Linked DNA regions of Arabidopsis thaliana. The protein of the gene in region 1 interacts with the protein of each later gene in a biochemical or structural test. Each region holds a gene or a part of one and is shown in the gene's direction. Other genes may lie near its edges.

Region 1 (7,046 bases):
TGTCCCGTGCTAGGGTTACATATCACCGGCACTTCGCCTGTACGCGTATTAGGGAAATAGAGCAAACCAGAGACAAGGCCAAAAATCTCTTGTCCCATGTCTCTACGTAACTCCATATGAAAATCGGCTGATACTACAAGAGAATGATTCTCATCTGGAAACTGAGACTGAGGCGACGAGTACAAGCACCACTTATCAGAATTTTGAACCGCGAATAAGAGACGTGGACGACTCAAGGGCCTAGTAATTAGGAACAACTCAATGAAATCTTGACCTCTTAGTATAGATCCACAGAACTTGGATGCGAGACCAAACTTAGCGATTGAATTAGTAGACAATCTCGAGAGTATATCGAGAATGATATCAATCGGGATTGGATCTGATTTTCCTTCTCTTTCCATCGTACGTTTTTCAAAGATCGTGTATTTTGGATTTTGGTTCCAGTTCCAGTTCCAGTTCCAGTTCCAGACTTAACGTAGACGACAACCTAGGGTTCAAAGGCAATTCATTCATACCTAATGGGCCGAATGAATTCATGGGCCATGTTAGAGGCAACTAAAAGGCTGGACGAAACTATCTATTTTAGCCTTTTAGGGGAGGTAACGTATTAATGTCCCCAACTATCTTTTATAGGATGCATAGTTGGTTTTAACTAACATTAAAGGTGTTACTAACAATGGGCAATGATGGTAAAATTATAACGCAGTGGACACAATATAACTTAGCCATACCAATGCAAAGAATCTTGAAACTAGTATTAAACTCAGTCACGTATATGCTCTCCAGTCTATGCTTCGAAGAGCTTTCTTCTAATCCCATACGAAGAAGCTCTCTATGTTTTTCTAATTTAATCAGGCTTAGACAACTAGTTTCAAAGTCATAATTCTTGGTGTCTGAGTTGTCTTCCCTTTCCATCGAGTTTTTTAAAGATCGTGTCTTTTGGTTTCCAGTTCCAGACTACGTAGGCGACACTTCAGGGTTTCAAAGGCAATGGCACTAAAAGTCACTAATGGGCCTAACGACTTAATGGGCCTTGTGAAACGTTACCCAATAAGAGACCTGGTTTCTCACTGAGTTCAACCATCTTCTTCCCCATGGCTCTGAATTCTTCAGCTTTCTTCGTTCCATGTCACAATTACAATCAAATCTGTGATCTTCTTCTTTCTTCAGCTCGAACCAGATCAACTATTAAAGGACTTCAGCTTCATGGCTATGTCGTTAAATCAGGCCTTTCTCTTATCCCTCTCGTCGCTAACAACCTCATTAATTTCTACTCCAAATCACAGCTTCCGTTTGATTCTCGTCGAGCTTTTGAAGATAGCCCACAAAAAAGTTCGACGACTTGGAGTTCAATCATCTCTTGTTTTGCCCAGAACGAGCTTCCATGGATGTCACTCGAGTTTCTTAAAAAAATGATGGCGGGAAACCTTAGACCTGATGATCATGTTCTTCCATCAGCTACAAAGTCGTGTGCGATTTTGAGTCGTTGTGATATTGGTAGATCAGTTCATTGTCTATCGATGAAGACTGGGTATGATGCTGATGTGTTTGTGGGGAGTTCTTTGGTTGATATGTATGCGAAATGTGGAGAAATTGTTTATGCGAGGAAGATGTTCGACGAAATGCCTCAGAGAAATGTTGTTACTTGGAGTGGGATGATGTATGGGTATGCACAAATGGGTGAAAATGAGGAAGCTTTGTGGTTGTTTAAAGAAGCTTTGTTTGAGAATCTCGCTGTTAATGATTACTCGTTTTCGAGTGTTATTAGTGTTTGTGCAAATTCGACTCTACTTGAGTTAGGTAGACAGATTCATGGATTGAGTATTAAGTCTAGCTTTGATTCTTCTAGCTTTGTGGGAAGTTCTTTAGTCTCGTTGTATTCAAAGTGTGGTGTTCCTGAAGGAGCTTATCAAGTTTTTAACGAGGTGCCTGTGAAGAATCTCGGGATTTGGAACGCTATGCTCAAGGCGTATGCGCAACATTCACATACTCAAAAGGTTATTGAATTGTTCAAAAGGATGAAGCTTTCTGGAATGAAACCAAATTTCATAACTTTTTTGAATGTGCTCAATGCTTGTAGTCACGCGGGTCTAGTTGATGAAGGGAGATACTACTTTGATCAGATGAAAGAATCGAGGATTGAGCCGACGGATAAGCATTACGCTTCCTTGGTGGATATGTTAGGACGAGCTGGTAGATTACAAGAAGCACTTGAAGTTATCACTAATATGCCGATTGATCCCACGGAATCTGTATGGGGAGCTTTATTAACGAGTTGTACAGTCCACAAGAACACAGAGCTTGCAGCATTTGCAGCAGACAAGGTCTTCGAATTAGGACCAGTGAGTTCCGGTATGCACATTTCGTTATCCAATGCTTATGCAGCCGATGGTAGATTCGAAGACGCAGCTAAAGCTAGAAAATTGCTTCGAGACCGAGGGGAAAAGAAGGAAACAGGGCTAAGTTGGGTTGAAGAAAGGAACAAGGTTCATACATTTGCAGCTGGAGAAAGACGTCATGAGAAAAGCAAGGAGATATATGAGAAGCTGGCTGAGTTAGGGGAAGAGATGGAGAAAGCGGGTTACATTGCAGACACAAGCTATGTTCTGAGAGAAGTGGATGGTGACGAGAAGAATCAAACCATAAGGTATCATAGTGAGAGATTAGCTATTGCTTTTGGACTGATCACGTTTCCAGCTGATAGACCGATCCGAGTAATGAAGAATCTGCGTGTTTGCGGTGATTGCCATAACGCGATCAAGTTCATGTCCGTATGTACGAGACGAGTGATCATTGTGAGAGATAATAATCGGTTTCATCGGTTTGAAGATGGCAAGTGTTCTTGTAATGACTATTGGTGAAGAAGACAAATGAGAGTTGGTTTATATTTAACCATAATTTCATTCAGTTCACACTGAACCGGCGAAATTTCTTTGCCAGACCTATTCGGAATTGAAACAAGTGGAGTCTCGAAACGAAAAGAACTTTCTGGAATTCGTTTGCTCACAAAGCTAAAAACGGTTGATTTCATCGAAATACGGCGTCGTTTTCAAAGAACAATCCAGAAATCACTGGTTTTCCTTTATTTCAAAAGAAGAGACTAGAACTTTATTTCTCCTCTATAAAATCACTTTGTTTTTTCCTCTCTTCTTCATAAATCAACAAAACAATCACAAATCTCTCGAAACGCTCTCGAAGTTCCAAATTTTCTCTTAGCATTCTCTTTCGTTTCTCGTTTGCGTTGAATCAAAGTTCGTTGCGATGGCGGATGTTCAGATGGCTGATGCAGAGACTTTTGCTTTCCAAGCTGAGATTAACCAGCTTCTTAGCTTGATCATCAACACGTTCTACAGCAACAAAGAAATCTTCCTCCGTGAGCTCATCAGTAACTCTTCTGATGTAAGTTTCCCTTCAAATCTCTCTCTGCTCGGTGTGACTCGTCCGCTTCCTATTTTCTTGCATGTTGTTTGTTCTTTAATTCCTGGATTCGTTGATAGCGTTGGATTCGTAGGTTTAGCGTTGTGATTGCTTATTCAAATAAATCGTGATTTGGCTTGTGCATCACGTTAAGTTTAGAATTCTTAGCTTGTGCTCGATCTTCATGTGTTGTAGTTACATATATAGAACGGTTCTTGCTTCGATGTAGTCTTTGATTTACCCTAGAGGATTGAGGAAAGCTTCTGATTATCTTTGTTTATATGAATGGTTTTGTAGGCTCTTGACAAGATCCGATTTGAGAGCTTAACGGATAAGAGCAAGCTCGATGGACAGCCTGAACTCTTCATTAGATTGGTTCCTGACAAGTCTAATAAGACGCTCTCAATTATTGACAGTGGTATTGGCATGACCAAAGCAGGTAACGAATCAATGCCTAATAATCTCTCGTTGGTGAGATGTTTTAGTGTATGTGCTGTGGTTATGACTCTCTATTATTTTTTCAGATTTGGTGAACAACTTGGGAACCATTGCGAGGTCTGGAACAAAAGAGTTTATGGAGGCGCTTCAAGCTGGAGCTGATGTAAGCATGATAGGACAATTTGGTGTTGGTTTCTACTCTGCTTATCTTGTTGCAGAGAAGGTTGTTGTCACTACAAAGCACAATGATGATGAACAATACGTTTGGGAGTCTCAAGCTGGTGGTTCCTTCACTGTCACTAGGGATGTGGATGGGGAACCACTTGGTAGAGGAACTAAGATCACCCTCTTCCTTAAGGACGATCAGGTAAGGAATCGTAGCTTTGAGTGTTTTGGGGATTGTTTCTTTTCTTTTGGTGTTTTCTGTGTTCTTACAAGTGTGTTTATTCATGCAGCTTGAATACTTGGAGGAGAGGAGACTCAAAGACTTGGTGAAGAAGCACTCTGAGTTCATCAGTTACCCTATCTACCTTTGGACCGAGAAAACCACCGAGAAGGAGATCAGTGACGATGAGGATGAAGATGAACCAAAGAAAGAAAACGAAGGTGAGGTTGAAGAAGTTGATGAGGAGAAGGAGAAAGATGGTAAAAAGAAGAAGAAAATCAAGGAAGTCTCTCACGAGTGGGAACTCATCAACAAGCAGAAACCGATCTGGTTGAGGAAGCCAGAAGAGATCACTAAGGAAGAGTATGCTGCTTTCTACAAGAGCTTGACCAATGACTGGGAAGATCACTTAGCCGTGAAACACTTCTCAGTGGAGGGTCAGCTAGAATTCAAGGCCATTCTCTTTGTACCAAAGAGAGCTCCGTTTGATCTCTTTGACACGAGGAAGAAGTTGAACAACATCAAGCTTTATGTCAGGAGGGTGTTCATTATGGACAACTGTGAAGAGCTAATCCCAGAGTACCTCAGCTTTGTGAAAGGTGTTGTTGACTCTGATGACTTGCCACTCAACATCTCTCGTGAGACGCTTCAACAGAACAAGATCCTTAAGGTGATCAGGAAGAATCTAGTGAAGAAGTGCATTGAGATGTTCAACGAGATTGCTGAGAACAAAGAGGACTACACCAAATTCTATGAGGCTTTCTCCAAGAATCTCAAATTGGGTATCCATGAAGACAGTCAGAACAGGGGAAAGATTGCTGATCTTCTACGGTACCACTCCACAAAGAGTGGTGATGAAATGACGAGCTTCAAAGATTACGTCACAAGGATGAAGGAAGGTCAAAAGGACATTTTCTACATCACTGGTGAAAGCAAAAAGGCGGTGGAGAATTCTCCCTTCTTGGAGAGGCTGAAGAAGAGAGGATACGAGGTACTTTACATGGTGGATGCGATTGACGAATACGCTGTTGGACAATTGAAGGAGTATGACGGTAAGAAACTTGTTTCTGCGACTAAAGAAGGCCTCAAACTTGAAGATGAGACCGAAGAAGAGAAGAAAAAGAGGGAAGAGAAGAAGAAGTCCTTCGAGAATCTGTGCAAGACGATTAAGGAAATTCTCGGGGACAAGGTTGAGAAGGTTGTGGTCTCAGACAGGATTGTGGACTCTCCCTGCTGTCTAGTAACTGGTGAATATGGATGGACTGCAAATATGGAGAGGATTATGAAGGCACAGGCGTTGAGAGATAGCAGCATGAGTGGTTACATGTCGAGCAAGAAAACAATGGAGATCAACCCCGACAACGGTATAATGGAGGAGCTCAGGAAGAGAGCTGAAGCAGACAAGAATGACAAGTCTGTTAAAGATCTTGTCATGTTGCTGTATGAGACAGCTTTGTTGACGTCTGGATTCAGTCTTGATGAACCGAACACTTTTGCTGCTAGGATTCACAGGATGTTGAAGTTGGGTCTGAGTATTGATGAGGATGAGAACGTTGAGGAAGATGGTGATATGCCTGAGTTGGAGGAGGACGCTGCTGAAGAGAGCAAGATGGAGGAAGTCGACTAAGAGATGAAGAAATTGCTCTTATGGTTCTGAAAACTTCTAATATGTCGAGTTGTTCTGAGTTTTAAGATTTTCCAAAATGTCTTTGTCTTTTTTTTTATATCTTTAGAGTTACTTGAACATTGTGACTACTTCTAGGGTTGGGTTTGTGTCAGGTCTGTTATATCGTGTGGTGGGTCTGTCTAATACTGATTCAAGTTTTTGTTATTCAGCTAAGGAACTTTTCTTGTTTCTGAACAAATCTTTTGGTTCCCTAGAGTAAAACTTGACTTCCAAAAGATAGACTTCCTAAGATCACTGGAATAGATAGGAGTGACAACTTGACGTGAAAGGTAGCTTGGCTATAGTAATTTTAGATCTGACAAAACGAGATCAAGAAGTTAATAATTTTCACAACACCAATTTGTTATCGCTTAAAGGTTGATTGATTTGTTCAATAGGGGGAATCATATTCTCGCATGCTCGAAAAGGGGAGAGAAGATGGAATGAACATAACTTTAAATCGGATGTTTGATTCAACAACAAAACTAAACTCAGATAGAGATTATGAAGGATTCCGGAATCTGAATTACAAAAGCAAAATTTAAAGCTGAAAACTCCTCCATGGTCTTACTGTCACCTAAAGACATTTCTTTTTCAAGGCAAACCTGAACCAGATGGTGCAGCTGCGCTGTAGCCACCAGCACCACGGCCAAAACCACGGCCACTTCCCTGATAAACAAGAAAGGATGTTAGAACAATGGCAACCAAACAAAGAGAAGGCGGGTAAATCAAATCACAAGGCAATTATATAACTATAGACTTTGAAACACTTCACAGCTAAAGTAAAAGATTTATGTTCCTTGTAACTAAAGTGATAAAGAGAGACTAAATATGTTCATGGTTTCTCAGGTTCAGGAGCTCTATGATAAAGACTTCAAGAGTAGCACATTATATGACGTTGGTGAGATAGAGAAGTAAATAGAAGGTATGGTCAGTGAGAATTTACTTGGAAAGATGGCTGGTAATCTGCGGGAGCTCCACCCTTTTCACCTCCAAACTCACCACCAGCTCGAGGACCTGCACGGTACCCATCACGGTCACCAAACCTGGGACGGTCTCCTCCTTCATGGCGAGGTCCTCTGAAATACAAAGAAACCCAAACCATGTCAAACAAATTAAAAAAAAAAAAAGTTTTTGCCA
Region 2 (7,406 bases), on another chromosome or scaffold:
AGTGACACCATAATCACTGACCTCAACGCAGTAAACTCCGAAGATGATTTCCAGAGCTGGAATGTTTTATGAAATCTCAGATAAAGAAGGATATTGTTGATAATGTGTGCGGTTGTGACATCAATATAGGTCGTCAAATATTACCTCAAGTGTTGCATTCAAACCAGGGAATGCTAATGTCAATGATCCTTTGTCTCCCTGCAAACCGGAGGTTACAATAAAACTCTCTGGTCTTTTTAGCTTTAGATGTGCTACTAGCATTTGATCGAGTTCAAAATCTATACCCCACAAATGCAGAAAGGATAAACTAAATCGAATTAGATATTCTCCAATAGCCTTGTCCATGTGAACAACTTCTGCATGGTTATCTAGAGTCTTCTGGACAGGAGACTTGTCTTTTGAAGTCTTCTGCTGAGCAGTTGCCTTATCACTCTTCTCTTCTAGCATCTTATGCATATCAGAGTCTTCATGTGTTTGACAATAAACTGCTAAAGACGAAAGATCGAAAATCAGAGTAGATATTCCAGGGAATGGGCAAGTGCATTTGATGGAAGGGTATCTGATGCTTTGGAGAAAAGACGAAGCAGTAGAACTCTCTTCTCTAGTCTTTTCCTGCGAAGAACTTGGCTTAGATGTTGACAAAGAGGCTGCTCGCTCGTAGTTCTTCAAATAAAATGGTTTCCTCTCTTCGTCTACTGGGAAAAGCAAAGAGGAAACTGATGTATTTCCATTTAAGACAGTACCAGAATGAGATTTCTCACTAATGCCTGCACAGAAATGATCAAACATTGAATGTGAAGCTGCCCCATGGAGTACACGTTCTCGAGCACCTGTTTTCACATCCCAAATGTATAAGACATCAATTGGATCTGATTTTCTCGAAAGGGAGCGAAAAAGACATGCAATGTAGCCTCTTGTACCATCCCATACAACTTTTGTAGGATAGTTTGGGTGCCCAGGAAACATCCTTTCGACCCGCAAAGTCTCAAGAGAAGAAAGAGCAACACATGAATCATCCCCAACAGATAGAAAGCACTTGCTCCATGGGCGTTTTGTTGGAGCTGGGGATAGAATGATCTGGCGCACTGGAGCAACATGATGATGCATGATCATGATAACATTTCCGCTTTCGAGATCCCAAATGCGGATGGTACAGTCCATACTTCCGGAGATCAAAACATGAGAAGAATTACATCCATTTGCATCCCCAAACATTCGATGCGCTGCTAAGCATAGAACAGATCCTGTATGTCCCAATAGACGCTGTTTATAGACGAGTGGATCAGTATCTGATCTCGGGCTTGAAGCAGGAGAATCAATTCCATGAAGAAAATCAAACTTTGCAATCTCTATCTCACCACTAAAGAAACCATAGACAACAGCATATGGGACATACATATTCTCAGAAATAACCATGGACGATGACACACACTGTCCATTGTCACTAACAAAGCTTTGTAGATCATTTTTGGCACTGCACTGACTTCCTGACTGCGAAGTACCAGTTTCTGCACTAACCGAGCCCTTGGGATCTAAACAGGAGCTTGAAATCCAATCAGCAAAATAGGAGCTTTCTCCAAGCACTTTGCGCTGAAGTTCTTTTTCTTTACCATTTCCTAGGCACAATGACCAGATCGTTATATGGGGCCTCCACTGAGAAGGTTGTTCAACATCACAACAACTAGACTCAACGCGAAGAAGATTCTGCCTCAACTGAACAAAACAAAACGTTGATTTCACGGAACGCTTATCATCAGGGGCAGTAACAATCTCACCGAAGTTTTTATATGTAAATTCACCATCTATATATGACATAGTAAACAGCACAGCAGAACCACTACCATCCCACAGCACAAAAGTTTCAGAAATACTATCATCTTTATCACCTTCAATAGTTGATGTACTAGAGTAAAGTATCATTGCTTCTTTGAACAGAAAATTTGAAGAATGCGAATCATCAACAAAAGATATCTCTCCTATTGCCTCCTCGCGATTCAACAACCAAAAGACACACCTACTCTTCGAGAAAAACGCAACAAGATCCCCTCGAGTTATTACTGATACAGCAATTTCCCCTTCACTCAACCAGTTTCTAGACACTAGAGAGCCTTTGCTCGGTTCAGATTTCTCTGACACTGAGACCAACTGCAACCTACCAAACGAATCAGCCATAAGCAATGATTCCTGCTCATCTAACTGAACCACGCCCATAAAATTCAAACAACCAATAGATAAATTCCCATGGAAAACTGTATGAACAATAGTAAGAGTGTAAGTATCAACAACAACCACCGTGCATCTCGACTTCTGAAAATCAGTATCTGCTAAAGTCTCAGCCCCATCAACATCGATATAAGAACAACCAACACATACATATCTAGGCTCTGATGGCAAAGTAGACAAAATCGATGGACTTCCAACCCAAGGAGGTAATTTTCTTCGTTTCCTACACTGACCACTACTTCTACTCCATACACACAAGACACCATCAGTACAAGCACTGATCAATGCACAACAGTTAACAAATGGATCCGCATTACCATTATCTGATGCAACAACTCCATTACTTGAAAGTATTGTAGGATCACAAATAGCAAGATCCACTATTGGTGAAGTATGGCCACACAACATAGCAATCGGTTTAATCTCATGATGAGGGAGACGAGTTACAGAATTGGATTCGGAAGAAGAAGAGATGCTCCACCAGATGATTGACCCATCGGATCCACCGGTATAGAGAGTCGGTGGATTGGTTAGAGAGGCTGTGGCGGTGACCCGATGAGACGGAGGAGCACGAGACCATAGGCAGGCCACAGATCGGCACTTCATCGGCTTGAATCAAGCGGTACAAGCATCGACCGAGTCAGTGAACGAGTCGGGGTGAGAGAAGAAGGAAGAACGAACTGGTAAACGACGTCGTAACAGTAATCACGACAAATATATCTGTACATATTTAGATGGATTTTTCGAGGTTGCAAATAAATTTTTTAAGGTAAATATTTGGCAAAAGTTTGATAATTGATATTTTAACTTTACTAGATTATTATCAACTTAAAATACTTAAATCTGTGTATTGGACGACGGGTCCTAATCTAGTCAATATATAAATTATAACTTGTTAAAATATATCATAGTCTAAATTCACAAATCACATTGTATTTGCTAAACTATGAGTAAACGATTACGATATAAACAAAATGAGTAGAAAATGATTATTTTAAATTATTGTAGTTCTCTATAAATATCTTTACCATTAGTTTTCTTTCCTTTTTTCAGTATTATTCTTTTGTCAACTAATTTATTTGTTAAAAAATCTGGACTTATCAAGAATCAATCTTATGTTAAAAAATAAAATCAAAAGGAAATTAGAAAATAAAATAAAATCTAATTACCTTTTTGTTTTTGGTTATATGACCTAGTAGAGGTATTAAAACGTTCTTAAAAGAAAAAAAAAATCCCAAACACAGCAAAAAAAAAAAAAGCCTAGAGGAATAGAATCGGTCTCTTTCTCTATAATCTCTCTCTCTCTCTGACTTGTTTGTGTTCTCTCAAATCCTCTGATAAGAATCAATGGCCAAGGAATTAGCAGAGAAAGCTAAAGAAGCTTTTCTAGATGATGACTTCGATGTTGCTGTTGACTTATACTCCAAAGCCATTGACTTGGATCCCAATTGCGCCGCCTTCTTCGCCGATCGTGCTCAGGCCAACATCAAAATCGATAACTTCACTGGTATAAATATAACTCTCTTCCTTACCGTTAATATCATCGTTAAAGATTGAAACTTTATTAGATGTATTGCTTCGTTGACGCTTTTGGGGTTCTGGGTCTTGTTCTTTTGTCGTTACTTTAATTCGATCTGTTGATAGTGGAACAAAGTTTTGATTTTTGTTATTGGTTTGGTTTAGTTTTAGTTTTAGGGTTTCTTTTGTGAGGTTGTTGATTCGGATAAGAAAACTTATTTGAGTAATTGTAATTGTAGTTACTGTACTTTGATTGAATTGTTGTTGTTTGATGATTTGATTTGATATTTTATCTTTTTGTGGTTTCTATGAGCAGAAGCTGTTGTAGATGCGAACAAAGCCATTGAGTTGGAGCCAACGTTGGCAAAAGCCTATCTCAGAAAGGGGTATGATATTTTCACCATCTCTCTGTAGTGAATGATTTGATGTTATGTTCAAATTTGATTGGAATTATAATTCTATCTTCTGATTCTTTGCTACTGTGTTCGCAGCACTGCTTGTATGAAGCTAGAAGAATATAGTACTGCTAAAGCAGCCCTGGAAAAGGGAGCTTCTGTTGCACCGAATGAACCAAAGTTTAAGAAGATGATAGATGAATGCGATCTTCGTATTGCAGGTATGTTACATCAACTCCATAGCTTAAGAAATTAGTTACTAAACGATTTTGGGTATTTGTCTGCGCCTAGGGCTATAATTTTGATATAGTCTTTGTATCTCTGTTCAGAAGAAGAGAAAGATTTGGTTCAGCCGATGCCACCGAGTTTGCCTTCAAGCTCTACAACACCACTAGCAACGGAAGCTGATGCTCCTCCTGTTCCAATTCCTGCAGCACCTGCCAAACCGATGTTCAGGTAGTCTGGTTATCTAACATGTAAATTCTTCTTTAATTTCCAGAATCATTTTATACTCATAACTTTATTGCTCAACAGGCACGAGTTCTACCAGAAACCAGAAGAAGCGGTGGTGACAATTTTCGCCAAAAAAGTACCTAAGGAGAACGTAACTGTCGAGTTTGGTGAGCAGATTGTGAGTATCCTTCAATCAGAGAATTCATGACTTTTATCTGAACTTCAGAAACTATCTCTCTTTGTAATTTAACACTGTATTGATTTGAGATGTCTATCTTGGCTTTATTTTGGTGCAGCTGAGTGTTGTCATTGATGTTGCTGGAGAGGAAGCTTATCATCTCCAGCCGAGATTGTTCGGGAAGGTATATTTTATTTGACATATGTAATTACGGTGTTTTCACACACACTTTTACTAAATCCTTCTTCATGGGTGTTTTTCAGATAATACCAGAGAAGTGCAGATTTGAAGTATTGTCGACCAAAGTTGAGATCCGTCTTGCGAAAGCAGAGATAATCACCTGGGCCTCCCTTGAATATGGTAAAGGGCAAAGTGTTTTGCCCAAACCCAATGTCTCATCAGGTTTGTCTCAGAAGATACCAGCTTACGTTTACTATTTTATTCTGAACCACAATCGTAAAACCTTAAACAAACTGAACCCAAAGTGGTCTCTCTCTCTTCTCATTTGATTTTATGTGCATATGCAGCGCTGTCGCAGAGACCAGTGTACCCATCTTCTAAGCCAGCAAAAGACTGGGACAAGTTGGAAGCTGAAGTGAAGAAACAGGTTCCACAAACGCTAACTTCTCATCCTTAACACTAGAGGCTTTGCTGTACTTTGTTCTTTCTGCTTATCACTTTTGAATTTCGCAGGAGAAGGATGAGAAGCTTGATGGAGATGCAGCTATGAACAAATTTTTCAGCGACATATACTCGAGTGCAGATGAAGACATGAGGCGGGCAATGAACAAATCATTTGTGAGCAAATCTATCTTTGGTCTTTAAAATTTTGGTTTAATAACTCTGCTTTGTTCTTCGACTAATGAGATTTTCCTCTCGGGTGGTTTTTGGGTTTGACAGGCAGAGTCGAATGGGACGGTACTGTCGACAAACTGGAAAGAAGTTGGGACTAAGAAAGTGGAGAGCACTCCACCAGATGGCATGGAGCTCAAGAAGTGGGAGTATTGATCTTCTTAAAATCCCCTTTTCTGGTTTTTGTTAAAAAAAAGTCTGACAAATCTTTTGAACTTTTAAGGTGTTTTTCTTTTTTGGTTTCTGCTCGAATTTGTCTCTCTCCATTCTTGCGTTGTGGTCTCAAAGAACGTTCTGATACTTTGATTTTGTATTAGAAAACTAAAACTCGCAAGTCTGTTGTTTTGGAACTTTGTTCTTTTATCGAGAGGCTTATCTAAATATTTCTTGACATAATTGCATTGTGGTCTAAAAGGTTAGTTGTATAAGCCCAACTTTCTTTAGTTAAAACCGATGTGCATCTATATAGTGAGACAGTATTTTCACCTTTGGGGTTCCTGGTCTAGGAACACTGTTGTTGAATCCAAATCTTTCTTTCTTCTCAAATGCCTTAAGGATTTGAAATGAACATGTTAAGCTATCATCAACACTCATCAATGCACCAGCATTGTCAAACTCGCCACAGTAATTGGGTGCAGAGAATTTGTCTTCACGAAATCAGAGCTACTTTCCATCTTCATGTATATATTAGCTGATTCAGACAAGAAGGATACTAAGTTACAAGTTTGTTATAAGATGCAAGAGTAAAGGATTTCACTTTGCAGGTTGTATCAACCAATTGAAACAGTCTTGTCACCATAAGTGATTTTAGATTATAATTTGTTTCATGCAAGTTTTTGTGAAAGACTTTTATGGAAGTTCATATATATATATATATATATATATATAATACTAACTGAAATACCAACTTAAAAGTAAAAACAAAATCTCCACAAATGGATCTGTTTTACAGTTATAACAACACTGTAAAATAAAAAAAGACAGTAGCAGGAAGAATTCAGAAGCAAAAACAGCTTCAATCTCTCTCTGATCAGCTTCCTACTTATAAGTATTGACTGACTCTTAATGAAGCTTCAAAAAACAAATCCTTTTGGACAGATTTGTTAGCAGAGAAGTCTTGAGTTGTCAGAAAAACAATAGCTGTTAGGAATGTTGTGGAGAGGTGGCAGAGAAGATGTCTGTAGCAAACTGCTCCCATCATAGCTCGAAAACATATCTTGAGAGAAGCTAGTGTTACCATAAGGGAATTCATGTGGAACAGTGTTTGAGAGATTAGGATGTTGTAAACCGTTGTTGTTATTGATGATTTCACTCATCATACACAAGTTCTGATCAAAACCATGAAGCTGATCCTGTTGCTGCATCAAGTGATTATTCAACCCGTAGTTATTCGCCGAAAGTAACGGTGAGTAGTCTTGTGTGTTTGACACGCCAGGATGTTGAAAGTTGTTGTTGTTGGTGATGTTGTCCAAACACATGTTCTGACCAAAACCATGCTGCATCTGGTAATTGATGAGTTGATTGGATTGTGAAGCAGACAGTGGGAGTTGTGAGAGAGTAGCATCTCCATGGTTGTACATATACAGCGAGAACTTGCTAGGATCCAAGTGTTGTGTCTGGTTCAGATACGATGGTGTTAAACTCTGATGCACCAAGTTTGTGTTCTGTTTTTTCTGCGACTCAACAATACGAAGCCTTTTTTGGAGAGTAGAAAGTGTTCGTTCTAAGGACTGAATCAATTGAGAGAGTTGTTGAGGAGAGTAATGATCAAAGTTTGGATACCAATT
Region 3 (8,305 bases), about 18 Mb from region 1:
ATGCATGTTTGGTGAAGTGGAAGTTCCTGCTGAGATTTTAGTAGATGGTGTTCTTTGCTGTCATGCTCCACCGCATACAGCTGGTCACGTCCCCTTTTATGTTACATGTTCCAACAGATTTGCTTGCAGTGAAGTACGAGAATTTGATTTCCTTTCTGGTTCTACCCAAAAAATCAATGCTACAGATGTTTATGGTACCTATACAAATGAAGCATCACTTCAGTTGCGGTTTGAGAAGATGCTTGCTCACAGGGATTTTGTTCACGAACACCATATATTCGAAGATGTTGGGGACAAACGAAGACAAATCAGTAAAATTATGTTGCTAAAGGAGGAGAAAGAGTATCTCCTTCCAGGGACATATCAGAGAGACTCAACCAAACAAGAACCAAAAGGACAGCTTTTTAGGGAACTGTTTGAAGAAGAACTATATATATGGCTCATACATAAAGTGACTGAAGAGGGTAAAGGTCCAAACATATTGGATGAAGATGGACAGGGTATTTTACACTTTGTTGCAGCGCTTGGGTATGACTGGGCCATTAAACCGGTGTTAGCAGCAGGAGTTAACATTAACTTCCGTGATGCCAATGGCTGGTCTGCCCTTCATTGGGCTGCGTTTAGTGGCAGGTATGGACCTCTATCTCACATATCTTCAATTTCCTTTAATCATAATATTATTATTTGAGATTTTGCATTTCGTTTAAGATGCTCACATTGATGATGCTTTAACTCTATTATTTGGTCAACATTGCCATATCAAACTAACTCCTTTTCCTGTTAACTATAGGGAGGAAACTGTCGCTGTGCTTGTCTCTCTAGGTGCTGATGCTGGGGCATTAACGGATCCATCTCCAGAGCTTCCATTGGGTAAAACAGCAGCTGATTTGGCTTACGCAAATGGACACAGGGGAATTTCGGGATTTCTTGCAGAGTCTTCCTTAACTAGTTATCTTGAAAAGCTAACAGTGGACTCAAAGGAAAATAGCCCTGCCAACTCTTGTGGAGAAAAAGCTGTTCAAACAGTCTCTGAGCGAACCGCTGCTCCTATGACCTATGGCGATGTACCAGAGAAACTTTCCTTGAAGGATTCACTTACTGCTGTCCGTAATGCTACGCAAGCGGCTGATCGTCTCCATCAAGTATTCAGGATGCAATCATTCCAACGGAAACAGCTGTGTGATATTGGCGATGATGAAAAGATTGATATCTCCGACCAGTTAGCTGTTTCTTTTGCAGCTTCTAAAACTAAGAATCCAGGACAGGGTGATGTCTCTCTTAGTTGTGCTGCTACCCATATCCAGAAGAAATATCGTGGTTGGAAGAAGAGAAAAGAGTTTCTTTTAATCCGACAAAGAATCGTTAAAATTCAGGTTTGCCTTTCATTGAGTTTTTTTTTCTCCCCCTTATTTCTTTGCATAAGTCTTTTGTCTGGTTTCTCATTGCTGGAATCATATTACATTTACCTTTAGGCTCATGTGAGAGGACATCAGGTCCGGAAACAATACCGAACAGTCATCTGGTCTGTGGGATTACTCGAGAAAATCATTTTGCGTTGGAGACGCAAAGGTAATGGTTTGAGAGGGTTTAAACGCAATGCAGTCGCCAAAACCGTGGAACCGGAACCGCCTGTATCAGCTATATGTCCTAGGATCCCACAGGAAGATGAGTATGATTATCTTAAAGAGGGAAGAAAACAAACAGAGGAAAGGCTACAGAAGGCTCTGACTCGTGTTAAGTCGATGGTTCAATACCCAGAAGCACGGGATCAATACCGTAGACTCCTAACGGTTGTTGAGGGCTTCCGTGAAAATGAGGTACCCAAGACCCATAACATAATCAGTTAATCATATTTTGTTGAGCATTCTTGTGATAAATTGTTGTTGCAGGCTTCATCAAGTGCATCTATAAACAATAAAGAAGAAGAAGCAGTCAACTGTGAAGAAGACGATTTTATTGACATTGAGTCTCTTTTGAACGATGACACATTGATGATGTCTATTTCTCCTTGATTTTACTTTCTGACTCGTATTCATTTTTCCTTCTTTTACTTTCTAACTTTATTTCTTCTCTGTAAATACCATAGTTGATATTTACCGCTTAATTTATTACTTGGATTGAAATAGAATTATTCACTATTTTCTTTCGTCTTAACAATATATAACTTTTTTATTTGTTCATTTGGCTTTTCTCTGCTAATATTATATAGCCAAGTGTTGGATTACTCTGATTCATATTTGTATCCGTATTGAATATTCTTCTCTTTATTAGCTGTTTTCTGCAATTTATACATCATATTTGTTTTGGTCAAACTCATACATCAGTCATATTGTTATAGTTTAAATTTGAATGGTAGTATGATATTGAGCTAACTTTTAAAGGTTATAAATCCGGGTCGACATGCCATTTTATCTACCAAATTTGGATTGGTAAACCATTAAAGCTATAAAAAAAACTTAACTTGGATTTTCCTATAATCTGAAGATAAAATTGGATTGACGGGCAAGGCTACAGAAAATGGAAACTTAACAATAAATTATAGCAGTATATATTTTAATTTTTTCATTATTATATTGAGGTTTTTAGTGGCTTGACTAGCTTAAAATCTATTTTTCCACGAGTGGAAAAGTTCATTAAGAGAAGAAATGGCCAACAAAAGAAATTATAAACCTAAATCAATTTGTACAAGCTTATTAAAAAAAATTGAAACGAGTAATTCTAATAAATAAAGGAATTAAAATTAAAATTTCCATTTTTCTTAATTTAATTTTTTTTTTTAATTTCTTTATCGATTTCGTAAAGACAATTATTAATCAATCAAAAAGAGAAGATTCGCCTTGGGCAGACGGACTTGAGTTCACGGCTGGCCAAGTCATCACTCGTAATTAAAAGGGTTTAGACACAGTGCGCACGATAGCATCTGTGTTTGCTTCTTCCAAATCTCTCTCCTATTTTTCTTTCCCCTTTTCTCTCTTAAACCCTCCTAAAACCCTTGTCTCTCTCTCTCTCTCTCTCTCTTTCTCGTGAGATCGCGTTATGTCGAATACGCTTTCTTTGATTCAAAGCAATGCCTCGAATCCCAAAGTTTGGGTAGTGATCGGCGTGACGGTGGCCGGGATCGTGATTCTGGCGGAGACCCGGAAGCGGCGGATTAGAGCCCTTAGAGAAGAAGACTTTGGTGCTTTCTTAGATCGTTTCGAGCTTCTTCCTTTCCCTCCGCCTCCTCCTCCTGCTGCTAAACAATCTCTCTCTGGTCTTACCTTCTCCATCTCCGACGCGTATGTATCTCTCTCTCTCTCTCTCTCTCTCTCTCTCTTAAAAATCATAACCTATTTTCAAATTTGTTTTTTCCTGCTTTATATAATGATCTCGCTTATAAAGTTCAAAACTTTTGTTTGGTTTAATTGAGATTTTGACTTGCTTAGACGAAGTCATGTTGCAATGAAATGAATAAAGTTATATCGGGGTTAATGGTTTGACAGGTTCGATGTTAAGGATTATATCACAGGATTTGGTTGTCCACAATGGAAGAAGACTCATGAGGCTGCTGAGAAAACTGCTGTGGTTGTCACGACGCTCTTGAAAAATGGAGCTACTTGTGTTGGCAAGACTATAATGGATGAGCTGGGTTTTGGGTATCTCTCCACTCCTACCATTCTGCATATGAAATGACCTTTCGGTAGTTGGTTTGAAGAAAGTTTGTGTTTTGAATGTGATTTTACAGGATTATTGGAGAAAACAAGCACTATGGAACTCCTATTAATCCATTGATGCCAGATAATGTTCCTGGAGGATGTTCCAGTGGCTCAGCAGTTTCTGTTGGGGCTGAACTCGTTGACTTTTCACTTGGTATTGTTAATCTCTTCGTTTTCTCTTGGTAATGTGTTTCTTGGATTACGTTTGGTTCTTTATGCTAATCAAAAGATGCTTGATTTGCAGGGATTGATACCACTGGTGGTGTTAGAGTCCCAGCAGCCTTTTGTGGTATTCTTGGTTTTCGACCATCTCAGGGGACTGTTTCTTCAGTTGGAGTTTTGCCCAATTCTCAGAGCCTAGAGACTGTTGGTACGTTACATTCCCCTCCCTTTTAGTGTTTTTAGTGTAGTTTCAATGGTACATGCTACTCTAGGTGTTTGCCTTCCTGATTATTGAACTCATTGATTCGTTCTGTAGGATGGTTTGCCTCTGATCCATCCGTTTTGTGTCAAGTTGGACATGCCTTACTAAATCTGAGTGCAGTAACACATAGAAGGCAAAGATCTTTAATCTTTGCTGATGATTTATTCGAGCTCTCTGACATTCCTAAGCAAAAGTCGGTGCAAGTTGTCAGAAAGGCAATCGAGAATCTATCTGGCTGTAAGTTTGCAGCTGTATTGTTTCCTTCTCTTTGCCCTTCTCCAGATTCATATCTTATGTCTCTTGACCACTGGCTCATGCAGACAAGACTCCAAAACATGTTAACGTTGGCCAATATGTCGCTTCAAATGTACCAAGTCTTGCGGAATTCTGTGAGCAATCTGGGAAATCCCAAAATTCAGCATCAACTTTAAGGGCTCTTTCATCTGTGATGTTGGCTATACAAAGGTATTTAAGAAGCTCACACTTCTTGAAATTTTCACTGCATCAATACTTTTTTCTCTCTCTCGTTCCTTTTAAACGGGTGCAATAAAAGATTGTTGTTATTCCCTCTTTGCTGGAGGTTACTATTTTCTTCTTAAGTTGTATTATATGCAAATATCGAAGAAGAAAGGATTTTCTTTTTACCAGGCATGAGTTCAAAACAAATCATGAAGAATGGTGGCAAACATGCAAATCGTTTCTAGGGCCAAGATTTTCCAATGATGTTGTTACAGCTCTGAAGAGCAAAAACGAGAGCATTAAATCCCTCTACAGAGTGAAAAATGAGATGCGGGCCACCATTCAAAGCCTTTTAAAGGTAAACTCGATTTTTGGAAATTTAAAATTTTCACAGCCATTAGTGTCTTGAGGACATTTTGCCACCAAAACACTGAAGTCTGAAGAGATTGAATTATTAACTTTCATTTTTGCGGCTTCTTTTTAGTTCTATGGTATTATGATTAACCATAGATCGGTATCTTATTACTAGGAAGATGGAATTCTGGTAATCCCCACAGTTGCTGATCCCCCTCCAAGGCTTAACACAAAGAGAAATAAATCTTTGAATGAGTTTCTTGATCGTACTTATGCACTCTCCTGCATTGCAAGCATGTCTGGATGTTGTCAGGTATATTTCCATCTCCTCTTTCTCATTCAATGGTTGGGGAACATTCTTGTTGCCTTTTCCTTACTCTTCAGTCTTTAGTCATGACACAAATATATACATATTCTTCAGGTTACAATTCCTTTAGGGGAACATGGTGATCGTCCAATATCCGTGTCGCTTCTTACTTACTATGGAGGTGATAAGTTCCTTCTCGATACAACTCTCGATGTATATGCATCCCTTCAAGACCAAGCCAAACTTGCATCCAACTTAGCTCCAGTGTCTGACACCAATGGTAACATGGAGGCTTCTGAAGTTATGAAAGAAAAGGTAAAACTATCTCTTTGAGTTTGACAAATAGTATATTTGGTTCTGATCCATGATATGCTACTGGAGTTGGAATGTTCTCAAAGTTAACAGTGGATAAAATGTAATTCCAGGGCAATGCTGCATACAAGGGGAAACAATGGAATAAGGCGGTAAACTTTTATACAGAAGCTATAAAATTGAATGGAGCAAATGCTACTTATTATTGCAATAGAGCTGCAGCTTTCTTGGAACTTTGCTGGTAATTGTTCTCTTCATATCTTTCATTCTGATCTGAATATAATTTATTATGATTTTCTGATCTGAGAGTTTGTTTATAGCTTCCAACAAGCCGAACAAGATTGTACCAAGGCCATGTTGATCGATAAGAAGGTGAAAACTTGATTAGCTGCCTTATTTCTCCATCCCTCGTAGTTTGTTTTGTTACATTGTGTTTTTAACATGGTTTTGTGTTTAAGTACACTTGAGCTGGAACAAAACTATTCACTTTTTATTTATTTGATTTGCGGCGTAATACCTTTGTACTATGACTATCTAGTTTCATTATCACTCAGATCACTCACTATAGACACAATGACGCATTATTTGGAAGCTTTGATTCTTATAATAGTTATTTGTTTCTACAGAATGTGAAGGCATATTTGAGACGAGGGACTGCTAGAGAATCACTTGTACGGTACAAGGAAGCTGCTGCAGGTATGATGATTAAACTACTCTGAGATTGTAATTTTATCACATTGGAGAAACTTGTTAAAAGATAAAATTCATCTAGCTATCCAGATGAGTTACTCTCTCTAGTAGGGTATTGGAGCGTAACATTATGGTTGATCATCTCTGCAGATTTCAGGCACGCATTGGTCCTTGAACCACAGAACAAGACGGCAAAGGTTGCTGAGAAGAGACTCCGAAAACACATATGAGTTAAAAAGGATTATTACTCGATTTCTCTTGTTCACCAATCTATCTTTTCACTTATCTAAAACCCTAAAAAGGAAAGGTTTTGCTCCGGTTTCAACAGACTAATAATTTAGTGGTTTTGTGACATGTGTACAGATTGGGATGAAAACTTCTACCTCTAATTACTTGATCTGAAAAGTTTTATGGGGTCCTTTTAGCTTCTTTGTTTTCTTAACGGTCTTTTACGTAAATTACAATTTCCCCCAAGTCCAATACTGTAATTCCTTAAATTACACGGAGGGACCCATAAATGACACGTTTACAATCAATTTCTCGACAAATAACTGAATTCGTTGTTTGTTTTTTTCCTCTTCGTCATCGTCACGCCTCCGTATCTTCTCCTCTGTTTCATTTTTGAATTATTCGAATCAAAAATGTTTGATCATATGAAACTGCTGCGATGCTTCAGCTTCACGGCGTCGCGAGATTGGTTATTCCGGCAATCATTCGCAAACGCCGGTCTACGTTCCGTAACGACAGATCTCTCCCACGGCAATTCAATCGCATCAACAGCTATGCATTGTTGGATTCCTAAATCCCCGAATCGATCTAAACCTAATCTCCTCCTCCTCCACGGATTCGGCGCCAACGCAATGTGGCAATACGGAGAACATCTCCGAGCTTTCACCGGCCGATTCAACGTCTACGTTCCCGATCTCCTCTTCTTCGGGTTATCATCCACATCGGAACCAAACCGAACCGAATCTTTCCAGGCTCGGTGTCTGATGAGGTTAATGGAAGCGCACGGAGTCCAGAGGATGAACATCGTCGGGATTAGTTACGGTGGATTCGTTGGGTATAGTTTAGCGGCGCAGTTTCCGGAGAACGTTGAGAAGCTTGTGCTGTGCTGCGCAGGGGTTTGTTTGGAGGAGAAAGATATGGAGGACGGATTGTTTAAGGTGCCGAATCTAGAAGAAGCTACCGGAATTTTGATTCCTCAGACGCCGGAAAAGCTTAAGGAACTCATAAGATTCTCTTTCGTTAAACCAATCAAAGGTGTTCCTTCGTTTTTTCTCTGGGATTTTATCGATGTAAGTTTTTTCCTTTATAATAATGTCTTTGTTTGTTTGTTTGTTGATAAATGTTGGAGTTTTGAGAAATGTTGTTCAAAATGTTGAAAAGGTAATGTGTACGGAGTTTGTAGAGGAGAAGAGAGATTTGATCAAATCAATACTCAAAGATAGGAGACTTTCTGATCTTCCTAGGATCAAACAGGTACAAACCTTTATTCGGATTTTAATTTGCTTATGTAAATTTCGCAGTTCCTATAACATTGTGTGTATGTGTGTGTTTATTGGTTGAATTAGAAATCGTTGATCATATGGGGAGAAGAAGATCAAATATTTCCACTGGAACTAGGTTACAGATTAAAAAGGTAAACAACAACATGTATATTAACTATAGAGATTACCCTCTGTATTTTTTTATGTGTTTATAATAATTGTATGGTGAAACAGACATATAGGAGAGAGTGCAGAGATAGTGGTGATCAAGAAAGCAGGACATGCTGTGAATTTGGAGAAGTCCAAGGAATTTGTCAAGCATTTGAAATCTTTTCTCATTGACTCTTTGTGAATTACTTTTTCCTATAATATCAACCATTTTTATTTTTACACTATTCTTCAATATATAGGTGATCTTTCTTTCTTGTCTAAAAGCTTAAAACATCAACTGTCTATTAGGAAATTATGTTAGCTGTTAGATCACAAATACGATTATTTTATCCACGCCAGATAGAACTTGACAACTGCAGAGCCTGAGTTATACAATCTACAACAAAAATATCCAATAAGGCAA
Region 4 (7,917 bases), on another chromosome or scaffold:
TATCTAGAAACATAGCTGCATTTACATGAAAGGAAAATCAATCAATCAAGTATAAAGAAAACGGTTAAAGCATACTCAAATTTTGAATCACTTACTCTTCTGGATCACGGTTATGCTCATTGATGACATAGATTGCATGTGGACAAGGAATTCCTGTGAGGTTCCATTGATTACAAGCGCAAGTCCTATGAAGAATATTGGCTGTAAAGCCTCCATTACCTTCCATCACCTCATATACATGCTCACTATTTTTGAGAACAGTACATAACTTAGCTGATTTGCGATTTGCTTTAAGTACTCCCATTATGTGAGGTGGGAACTTTGACTTACATTTAGCAGTCTGGTCACGTCTTTTAGAAATACGCTTCATTGCTTGTCGCCTTACATCTTCAAGCATACTAATCACAGGCTTCTTCCTAGCATCCCTTAATCCGTTATGGCCCTGTTGAAACTCTCTGATAAGTTATTGCAAACATCCTCACAGCAAGAATGCCCACTGAAAAAGGCTCTACACCACGTCTTTGGCTCTGTTTTAAGCAAATCCTCATAAGCAAGCGGATCATAACTTTTCAAAGCTCTCATGTTGTATGTGTAAGTACCATCTGTTGAGCTGTAGGCAATGGCCCAGAAGTAACTCTCATGACAGTAGTCCCCGTAAACCTTCTTCCAATTGGAATAGATGTGCCTAGCACAATGCCTATGTTCAGCCTCTGGAAGCAAGTCAGCAACTGCATTGAGCAACCCCTTCTGCTTATCCGAAATAACTGTCAGTCCATTACCCACACCTAACTCCAAATCCTTCTTTAGGTGATCCACAAACCAAGCCCACGAGTCATTGTCTTCCACCCTAACTACAGCCCAAGCTATAGGGTAGATTCTATTATATGCATCCCTCTCCACAGCTGTTAGAATCTCACCCTTCAATTCTCATTTCAAAAATGACCCATCTAGACCAATGATAGGCCGACAACAATTTTTCCAAGTTCTACTAAGAGCTTTAAAACATACATAAAACTTGTCAAACTGTTGCTTACCACACTCTCTTGGGATGGTCACAATATCAGTGTGGATATCCTTATTAGACCTTTGAAGTTCTGCCTCATAATCCCATAGCTTTCCAAACTGAACTTTCTGAGTTTCTACCACCATGTCTAAAGCCATTCTTCTTGCTTTTTGGCATATCCACTTAGACACAGAGAGTGTGTACCTCATCATAATCTCATCTTTGATGTCAGTCCATCTCAAAAAAGGCCGCCTTCTTGCTTCATCTCTGAACATCCTAGCGATGACTCCCTGTTTCAGCATTTTTGCTTTCCCACTCTTAGCATGGTGATGCTTATCAACATAAGTTTATACTCTCCATATACCTGAACGCTTATGAGTGGAGCAGTATATCTTCCACTCACAATTTTCATGGCTGCAGATTGCTGCCAACTTATTTGCACCCCATCTACACAACTTCACATCATAATTCATCTTCAATACATACCGCAAGAGTTGATCCTTAACCTCTTAACCACTATTGAAAGTCTGCAACATCCAAATGTATGGAGGTTTATCCTTCGAAAACTTCTGTCGAGATGATGATCTTTCTGCTTGGTCATACGCATCCCATTCATCATCTGTGTCCATTGCATGATCCGGACGCTCTACATCATAACACTGTCTCTCAAATTCATCTTCATCTTCAACCTCTTCAGCAACGGTTTCTTCTGGTACTGTGTTAATGTCTTCAGCTGCAGCATCATCAACAACATCATCTGCAGCTTCTGTACCATTGTGAATTTCGTCAAAGAAAGCCTCAAACCGAGGATCATCGTGCCTTCTTTCTTCTACTGGATCTTCTCCATTAGCTTGTACTCTTTCAGGGCACTCATTAGTTTCTGCTGCAGGCTCCTCGTCTATGATATCTTCGGCATCATCATCCTCAACTCCAAGTTCCTCGTCTTCTACAACATCATTTGGAAGCGGAAAAGCTGCAGGTACAGAGACGGCATTGACGATGTATATGTCAACTTCCCCACCAATCATCGCCTCACGACATAACTCCCTTATCCCACCATCTTTGTCGGCACCGATAACTCTTGCTGAATAGATTTCCTCTTCTGGAAGCTTGTACCAAATCGATTCGACTTCACCATTGACTCCATTTTCTTTGCAAGAATCGTCGAATATAGACCATGTCATCAGATCAGGATCCATCACCATGTCTTTCGCCTCGACCCCTCCAGAGTAATCGAACCCTTGGTCCGTGAAGGATACATCGCCTCTATAGTTTATGTTGAGTTTCAAACACTCGAAATCACTGGAAAATAGAAATTAACCGATTAGTAGTGGTAAACAAACTATAACCTAACTGATTCATAACCCCTAACCCAATTTCAAACAAACCCAGAAAATTTCAAACTTAAGAACCCTAAAAATTCAAATCGACAGACCCACAACACACAAATCGACATACCTCATCTTTTCGACTGTTTACCAACTGGATCGAACGCAGATATACCCGATCAAACGCTTCGAATCATCGCCTCTTTCAATTTCTAAGTTTTTTGGAGAGAAATTAGAAATTTGGGGAGTTAGGGTTTCTCAATCCCAAATCGATTTGGGGGAAAACAAATGAGGGTACTGTAGTCTTTTAGTTAGTCAATTAAACCGCGGATTGTTAACCATTAACCCCGGTTTAGTGATTCCGTCAGCCAAATTAACGTCTGTTAACGCGCATGAATGATTTAACCACGAACAATTAAATAGTGTTTTTCTTGAACAAAATTTAATATTTTGGAACTTTAGGTTCCAATCAAAAACAATTGGGTATTAAAGTTTTAAATAAAAAATAGTTGGGTTTTTTTTAGATTTTTTCCCTAAAAAAAAAGAATAATATTTTGCAAAAAAATTAAATAATTTTTAAGAAAAAGAAATAATAAAACCAAATATTTATTGTGTAGTGGCCATAGTGGGCAATCACCTACTATCCACTCTTATGGAATGTACCCGAAGGGACGAGTAATAAATTTCTTATTTTTTAATTTTGGCAGCAAGTAATAAATAAATTAATTAAAAGTTAAAAATAAATAAAAAGAGACAAAATTTGTTGGAGGAAGAAAGTGGGTCCTAGGGTTTTCTTCTATCTGTCGTTTTGATTTCTGCGTTTAATAAGAGACAAGTCCCCGTCTACAGTCTTTTAGAGACGGAAGCTACTGAGACAGAGATTCACACCATTGTTCTTTGTCTCTTCCTCTGATTCTTTCTCTCTCTCTCTCTCTCTCTCTCTCTCTCTCTCTCTCTCTCTCTCTCTCTCTCTCTCTCTCTCTCTCTCTCTCTCTCTGTCTCGTCTTTGTTTCGGTTTCAAGAAAGCAAGAGGAAGAAGAAGAAGAAGAAGATGGGTAGGTCAAAGTGTTTCATGGACATTAGCATTGGAGGTGAGCTTGAAGGAAGGATTGTTATTGAGCTTTACGATGATGTTGTTCCCAAAACCGCTGAGAATTTTCGATTACTCTGTACCGGTGAGAAGGGTTTAGGTCCAAATACTGGTGTACCTCTCCATTACAAGGTTCTCTCTTTCTCTCTATATCTTTGTTTATACTCTCTTATGTATGAAATGTAGAAATGGGTATTTGTTGTTTCTGTGATTTAGGGTTTGTGGTTTAATGGGTCATTCGTCATTGGGGTTTATAAAGATCAAAACTTGGTTAAATTTGCAATTAGTTGTGAAAGAAAGATCAAAACTTTAGGATGCAATTGTACTATAGAATGGTTCTGAATGCTTATGATTTGAGGTTTAATGGGTTTTTGCTCGTATTGCTGAATAGCTTCTGACTTTGTTTCAGTATTGCAATTAGGTTACTGTAGTTTGTAGTGGTGAGGTAAAGATCAAAACTTTAGGTTGAAATTGTACTATAGGATGATGTACTTATGGTATTTGGTGTATTTGTTTACAGGGGAATCGATTTCATCGTGTTATCAAGGGGTTTATGATACAAGGTGGGGATATATCAGCTAATGATGGTACTGGTGGTGAGTCTATCTATGGCTTGAAGTTTGACGATGAGAATTTTGAGCTGAAACATGAGAGGAAAGGGATGCTCTCTATGGCTAACTCTGGTCCCAACACTAATGGCTCTCAGTTTTTCATTACGACAACTCGCACTTCTCATTTAGATGGGAAACATGTTGTGTTTGGAAGGGTTACGAAAGGAATGGGTGTTGTTCGGTCGATTGAGCATGTTAGCATAGAGGAACAGTCTTGTCCTTCTCAGGATGTTGTGATCCATGACTGTGGAGAAATCCCTGAGGGTGCAGATGATGGGATTTGTGACTTTTTCAAGGATGGTGATGTGTACCCTGACTGGCCTATTGATCTGAATGAAAGCCCAGCTGAGTTATCTTGGTGGATGGAGACTGTTGATTTTGTCAAGGCTCATGGGAATGAGCACTTTAAGGTGCTTTTTCCATTGTTTTAAATTGAATATATACGTTTGTCTGTTCCATATTTTCATTTCTGTGAGTCTGATCTGTTTTTGACCTTGATTTACTCTCAGAAACAAGACTATAAGATGGCTCTTAGAAAGTACCGTAAGGCTTTACGCTATCTGGATATTTGCTGGGAGAAAGAGGGCATTGATGAAGGTGGTTTATCAGTTTTTCTCTCTATATATGTTTCCACTTACTTCATCTCAAAAAATATTTATACTATCCATACCAATGTTCCCACTCACTCTCTACTTGGGATCTTGTAGAGACGAGTACTGCCTTGCGTAAGACAAAGTCGCAGATCTTCACTAATAGTGCTGTAAGTTCATCATGCTTTTACACCTTTTTTAAAGCTACATACATCCTTGTTGATATCTTTTCTTGTAAGTTGAACATATCTACCTTATATGTGTGTGTGCTTTACGTACCATCTGAAGATTGATTGTCTTTGGAGTCGTTGATTTTTCCAAAAGAACTTAAATTTCTTACTCTGTTGGGTTTTTAACATTACAATTTTTTTTGTTGAATCTGCTTAATTCTTACGGATGAGCTGTACCGTCGATAGAATGATAAGCAATTGATTGTGAACTAAAAATTAATTTGAAGTGCTCTACACTGCAGACCTGTCATTTATGTTGGTTTCTGCTGTTTGATTAATTTCTTGGGAAAAAGTAGGGTAGGTTGACCTTGACATAAGCAGGATAATATTCTCTGAGATTATGCTTGTGGGACATACATTGCTCATATGAATTATTGTTTGCATCTCTGTTTACGTTGCCAGTGTTTTCACTTGTCCAACTTAATTGCTTTGTTGTGCCTGTATAACCGATTTTTTTTTACTATGTTATCTCATTGTATTGTAACTGGCTGTTGTGGCAGGCCTGCAAACTCAAATTCGGAGATGCAAAAGGAGCGTTGTTGGACACTGAATTTGCTATGCGTGATGAAGATAACAATGTTAAAGCATTGTTTCGACAAGGCCAGGTACTTAAAAACTTATTGTTTGACAGTTTTCTAGAACCTAGACCACAATAACGAAAATTCTAGATTTCTCATGAGAGGAAGATGGTGTCTATTTCTTATCTGCGTTTGTTTATAATGTTAGGCATACATGGCTCTTAATAACGTCGATGCTGCTGCTGAAAGCCTTGAGAAAGCTCTTCAATTCGAACCTAATGACGGTGAGTGATTCATCAAGCTTCTATTAGTTGTGGTTTGACAAGTTTGGTTCATCATTATCAATGTATGAACATAGTACAACACACTTAAATATATTACGAGAGAAATCTAACTAGCATTTATTTCTGTGAGTTGATTTTTCAGCTGGTATCAAGAAAGAATATGCTGCTGTTATGAAAAAGGTCGGTATGCGGATAAAGAACACAAGTTCTTTTTGCAGTTACTTTACTTCTAGTATAAAATCTTAGAGCTGACGTTAATAACCATGTGTTGCAGATTGCCTTTAGAGACAACGAAGAGAAAAAGCAGTACCGCAAAATGTTCGTATAGGGGGGGGGGGGGGTGCTCTGCTTCATTTAGGGTAAGCCTAAGATTTGTTGTTAATCTCAGAAAACTGACCTAGTGTAAGCTTTATGTCAACTAATTTAACTCTCAGGGTTTTTGATGTTGTCTATGTAGGTTTGGTCGGATAGTGAGGAAGAAGACTAACAAAAAGTGAAAAGAAGCATATAAAGAAAGAAAAAACATTCAAAAAAGGACTTTGGGAATTGTTTCTATTTCCCTCATTTTGGTAAACATGTTTTTACTTTTGCATCATGGCAAAGACTGATGCATAGTAATATCGACTGGGAAATTGTTTTTACCCAAAGGATAGATTCAGTGCTTGAGACTGTTAATGAAATTTTGAGTTACTTGGCCACTCTGAGTTCTTTGCTTTCTTCCACGATTTTTTTCACGTTTGCTTGAATCAGCAAGTGGGCACTACAATGCTAGGGAATTTTGGTTTCCGCAGCATGCATATATGCTTACAAAAAATCCATTGGGAACTGTTTCTATTTCCCTCCTTATGAAATAAAATCAAATACGATTATTTTTTTTTGCGAAAACAATACTTTCTTCTGTTTCTAAATGATTGATTTTCTAGAAAAAGAATTGTTTCTAAAAGATTGATTTTTAAAGTTTTTCATGTGATATTAATTGGTTAGTATTGTGAACTGTAATTTCCAAGAAAAATAGTTAATTATCATTGGTTTAGAGTTATAGAAAACTATAAAATAATAAAATAATATATTTATATTGTTTTCTTAATATGTGTGTTTTGCTAAAAATCAATCTTTAACTTAATAGAGCAGGTAGAACTGAAACAGTTTTATACTAATAAGTGTAGACCAACGACAATCACAAATTACAGCGACCGTCTCGGAGGACCTCCACCATTCTGACAACCACCGCCGCGACCACCTTTACCGCGTTGACTACATGATGCTGATACTGGTATTAGCTTCCTTCTCTCTGCTATTTTATTTATAATAAAAAAGAAAACTCACAATTTATTAAATGCTAACTAAAATTAATCTACTGATTTAATGAAAATACTCTAAATAGTGTAGGGTCCTTTTTATTGTTGATCCAAACTGAACCAAAATCGAAATTGTATCAAACAAATGAACTGATTTGCTTTCATTTTTTTCCGATTGATATCAAAACAATAACTAAAAAATATAGTTAAGGAAATCAATAAAATGAAATTTTAAATTCCTTGAAACTTTTAAAATTAATATATAATAATTCAAACGAAAAGCCGATATCAAATGAAGTCGATTGAAAATCAGTTTCTCTTTTGGATTAAAAATTCCTAAGAAAATCTATTTGTGTTTTAGGACCAGATTAACTCATATATTGTTTTACATACACTAACGAGAAAGAAAAGAAAAAAGAAGTATTGATAGAGAGACCGTTGATACGCCATGGGTGTAACTCTTGTCGAGAAGAAAACACACAGTTTATGCGCCAAGGGGCCGCCAATAAAGCCAGTAAAAGCAAGAAGACAAGCCCCAAACTCGAAGGACCCTTTTTTGCCATCTTTGTTACTCTCTTTTGTTAGTTTGCTAAACCGCTGAATTTAACGAGTGAACAAAAAAATTCAAACATAAATACAAACCAAGAGTTCTTCTTCGCCACACATTTAGTCAACAAAAGACTGGTTGAAATATTATAAACACGGCCTCGCAACAAAAACTGAGAAATTTTATTTCTTTCCACATCACATGACTTGTAATTTCCGTTGAATTTGTTTAAGTTGGCAATCCACCATAAACATGACTTGTTCTGGGACCTTGGTCTTCCTCTCAACTACAACTCTTCTTCTTCTTCTTCTTGATCGTCTCATTTCCAACCTTAACACAAGAACAATTCTCCATCGACAGAGACAGTCCTGTCCTGTATGAGAATTTCCCTCAAATGCATTATGTTTAACCCCACAAA

What was found.
Region 2: the proteins of HSP90.1 (region 1) and SGT1B are reported together in a solved structure, tested with the Arabidopsis thaliana proteins (one study listed by BioGRID).
Region 3: the proteins of HSP90.1 (region 1) and TOC64-V form a complex in vitro, tested with the Arabidopsis thaliana proteins (one study listed by BioGRID).
Region 4: the proteins of HSP90.1 (region 1) and SQN form a complex in vitro, tested with the Arabidopsis thaliana proteins (one study listed by BioGRID).

Annotation. Positions count from the first base shown.
Region 1 is NC_003076.8:21,349,281-21,356,326, forward strand, and holds HSP90.1 (heat shock-like protein), read left to right. Parts: upstream 1-3,276; coding exon 3,277-3,399; intron 3,400-3,714; coding exon 3,715-3,856; intron 3,857-3,941; coding exon 3,942-4,222; intron 4,223-4,310; coding exon 4,311-5,867; downstream 5,868-7,046. Other genes in the region: AT5G52620 (F-box associated ubiquitination effector family protein), read right to left, coding at 1-401; MEF1 (mitochondrial RNAediting factor 1), read left to right, coding at 1,095-2,861; AT5G52650 (RNA binding Plectin/S10 domain-containing protein), read right to left, coding at 6,501-6,575, 6,853-6,985. UniProt on the Arabidopsis thaliana protein: Functions as a holding molecular chaperone (holdase) which stabilizes unfolding protein intermediates and rapidly releases them in an active form once stress has abated.
Region 2 is NC_003075.7:6,849,884-6,857,289, reverse strand, and holds SGT1B (phosphatase-like protein), read left to right. Parts: upstream 1-3,377; 5' UTR 3,378-3,570; coding exon 3,571-3,730; intron 3,731-4,057; coding exon 4,058-4,127; intron 4,128-4,232; coding exon 4,233-4,357; intron 4,358-4,465; coding exon 4,466-4,592; intron 4,593-4,670; coding exon 4,671-4,767; intron 4,768-4,885; coding exon 4,886-4,951; intron 4,952-5,030; coding exon 5,031-5,169; intron 5,170-5,294; coding exon 5,295-5,374; intron 5,375-5,460; coding exon 5,461-5,565; intron 5,566-5,667; coding exon 5,668-5,775; 3' UTR 5,776-6,106; downstream 6,107-7,406. Other genes in the region: AT4G11270 (Transducin/WD40 repeat-like superfamily protein), read right to left, coding at 1-56, 145-2,829; AGL52 (AGAMOUS-like 52), read right to left, coding at 6,723-7,406.
Region 3 is NC_003076.8:2,925,280-2,933,584, forward strand, and holds TOC64-V (translocon at the outer membrane of chloroplasts 64-V), read left to right. Parts: upstream 1-2,893; 5' UTR 2,894-3,036; coding exon 3,037-3,278; intron 3,279-3,482; coding exon 3,483-3,635; intron 3,636-3,724; coding exon 3,725-3,849; intron 3,850-3,939; coding exon 3,940-4,065; intron 4,066-4,173; coding exon 4,174-4,356; intron 4,357-4,439; coding exon 4,440-4,584; intron 4,585-4,767; coding exon 4,768-4,936; intron 4,937-5,107; coding exon 5,108-5,245; intron 5,246-5,353; coding exon 5,354-5,554; intron 5,555-5,664; coding exon 5,665-5,792; intron 5,793-5,871; coding exon 5,872-5,923; intron 5,924-6,177; coding exon 6,178-6,247; intron 6,248-6,391; coding exon 6,392-6,471; 3' UTR 6,472-6,742; downstream 6,743-8,305. Other genes in the region: EICBP.B (ethylene induced calmodulin binding protein), read left to right, coding at 1-630, 791-1,373, 1,473-1,817, 1,890-2,012; AT5G09430 (alpha/beta-Hydrolases superfamily protein), read left to right, coding at 6,883-7,539, 7,631-7,723, 7,816-7,883, 7,966-8,083. UniProt on the Arabidopsis thaliana protein: Chaperone receptor mediating Hsp90-dependent protein targeting to mitochondria.
Region 4 is NC_003071.7:6,876,209-6,884,125, reverse strand, and holds SQN (peptidyl-prolyl cis-trans isomerase / cyclophilin-40 (CYP40) / rotamase), read left to right. Parts: upstream 1-3,227; 5' UTR 3,228-3,382; coding exon 3,383-3,553; intron 3,554-3,941; coding exon 3,942-4,442; intron 4,443-4,541; coding exon 4,542-4,629; intron 4,630-4,739; coding exon 4,740-4,792; intron 4,793-5,352; coding exon 5,353-5,457; intron 5,458-5,578; coding exon 5,579-5,654; intron 5,655-5,796; coding exon 5,797-5,834; intron 5,835-5,928; coding exon 5,929-5,982; 3' UTR 5,983-6,013; intron 6,014-6,111; 3' UTR 6,112-6,352; downstream 6,353-7,917. UniProt on the Arabidopsis thaliana protein: PPIases accelerate the folding of proteins. It catalyzes the cis-trans isomerization of proline imidic peptide bonds in oligopeptides.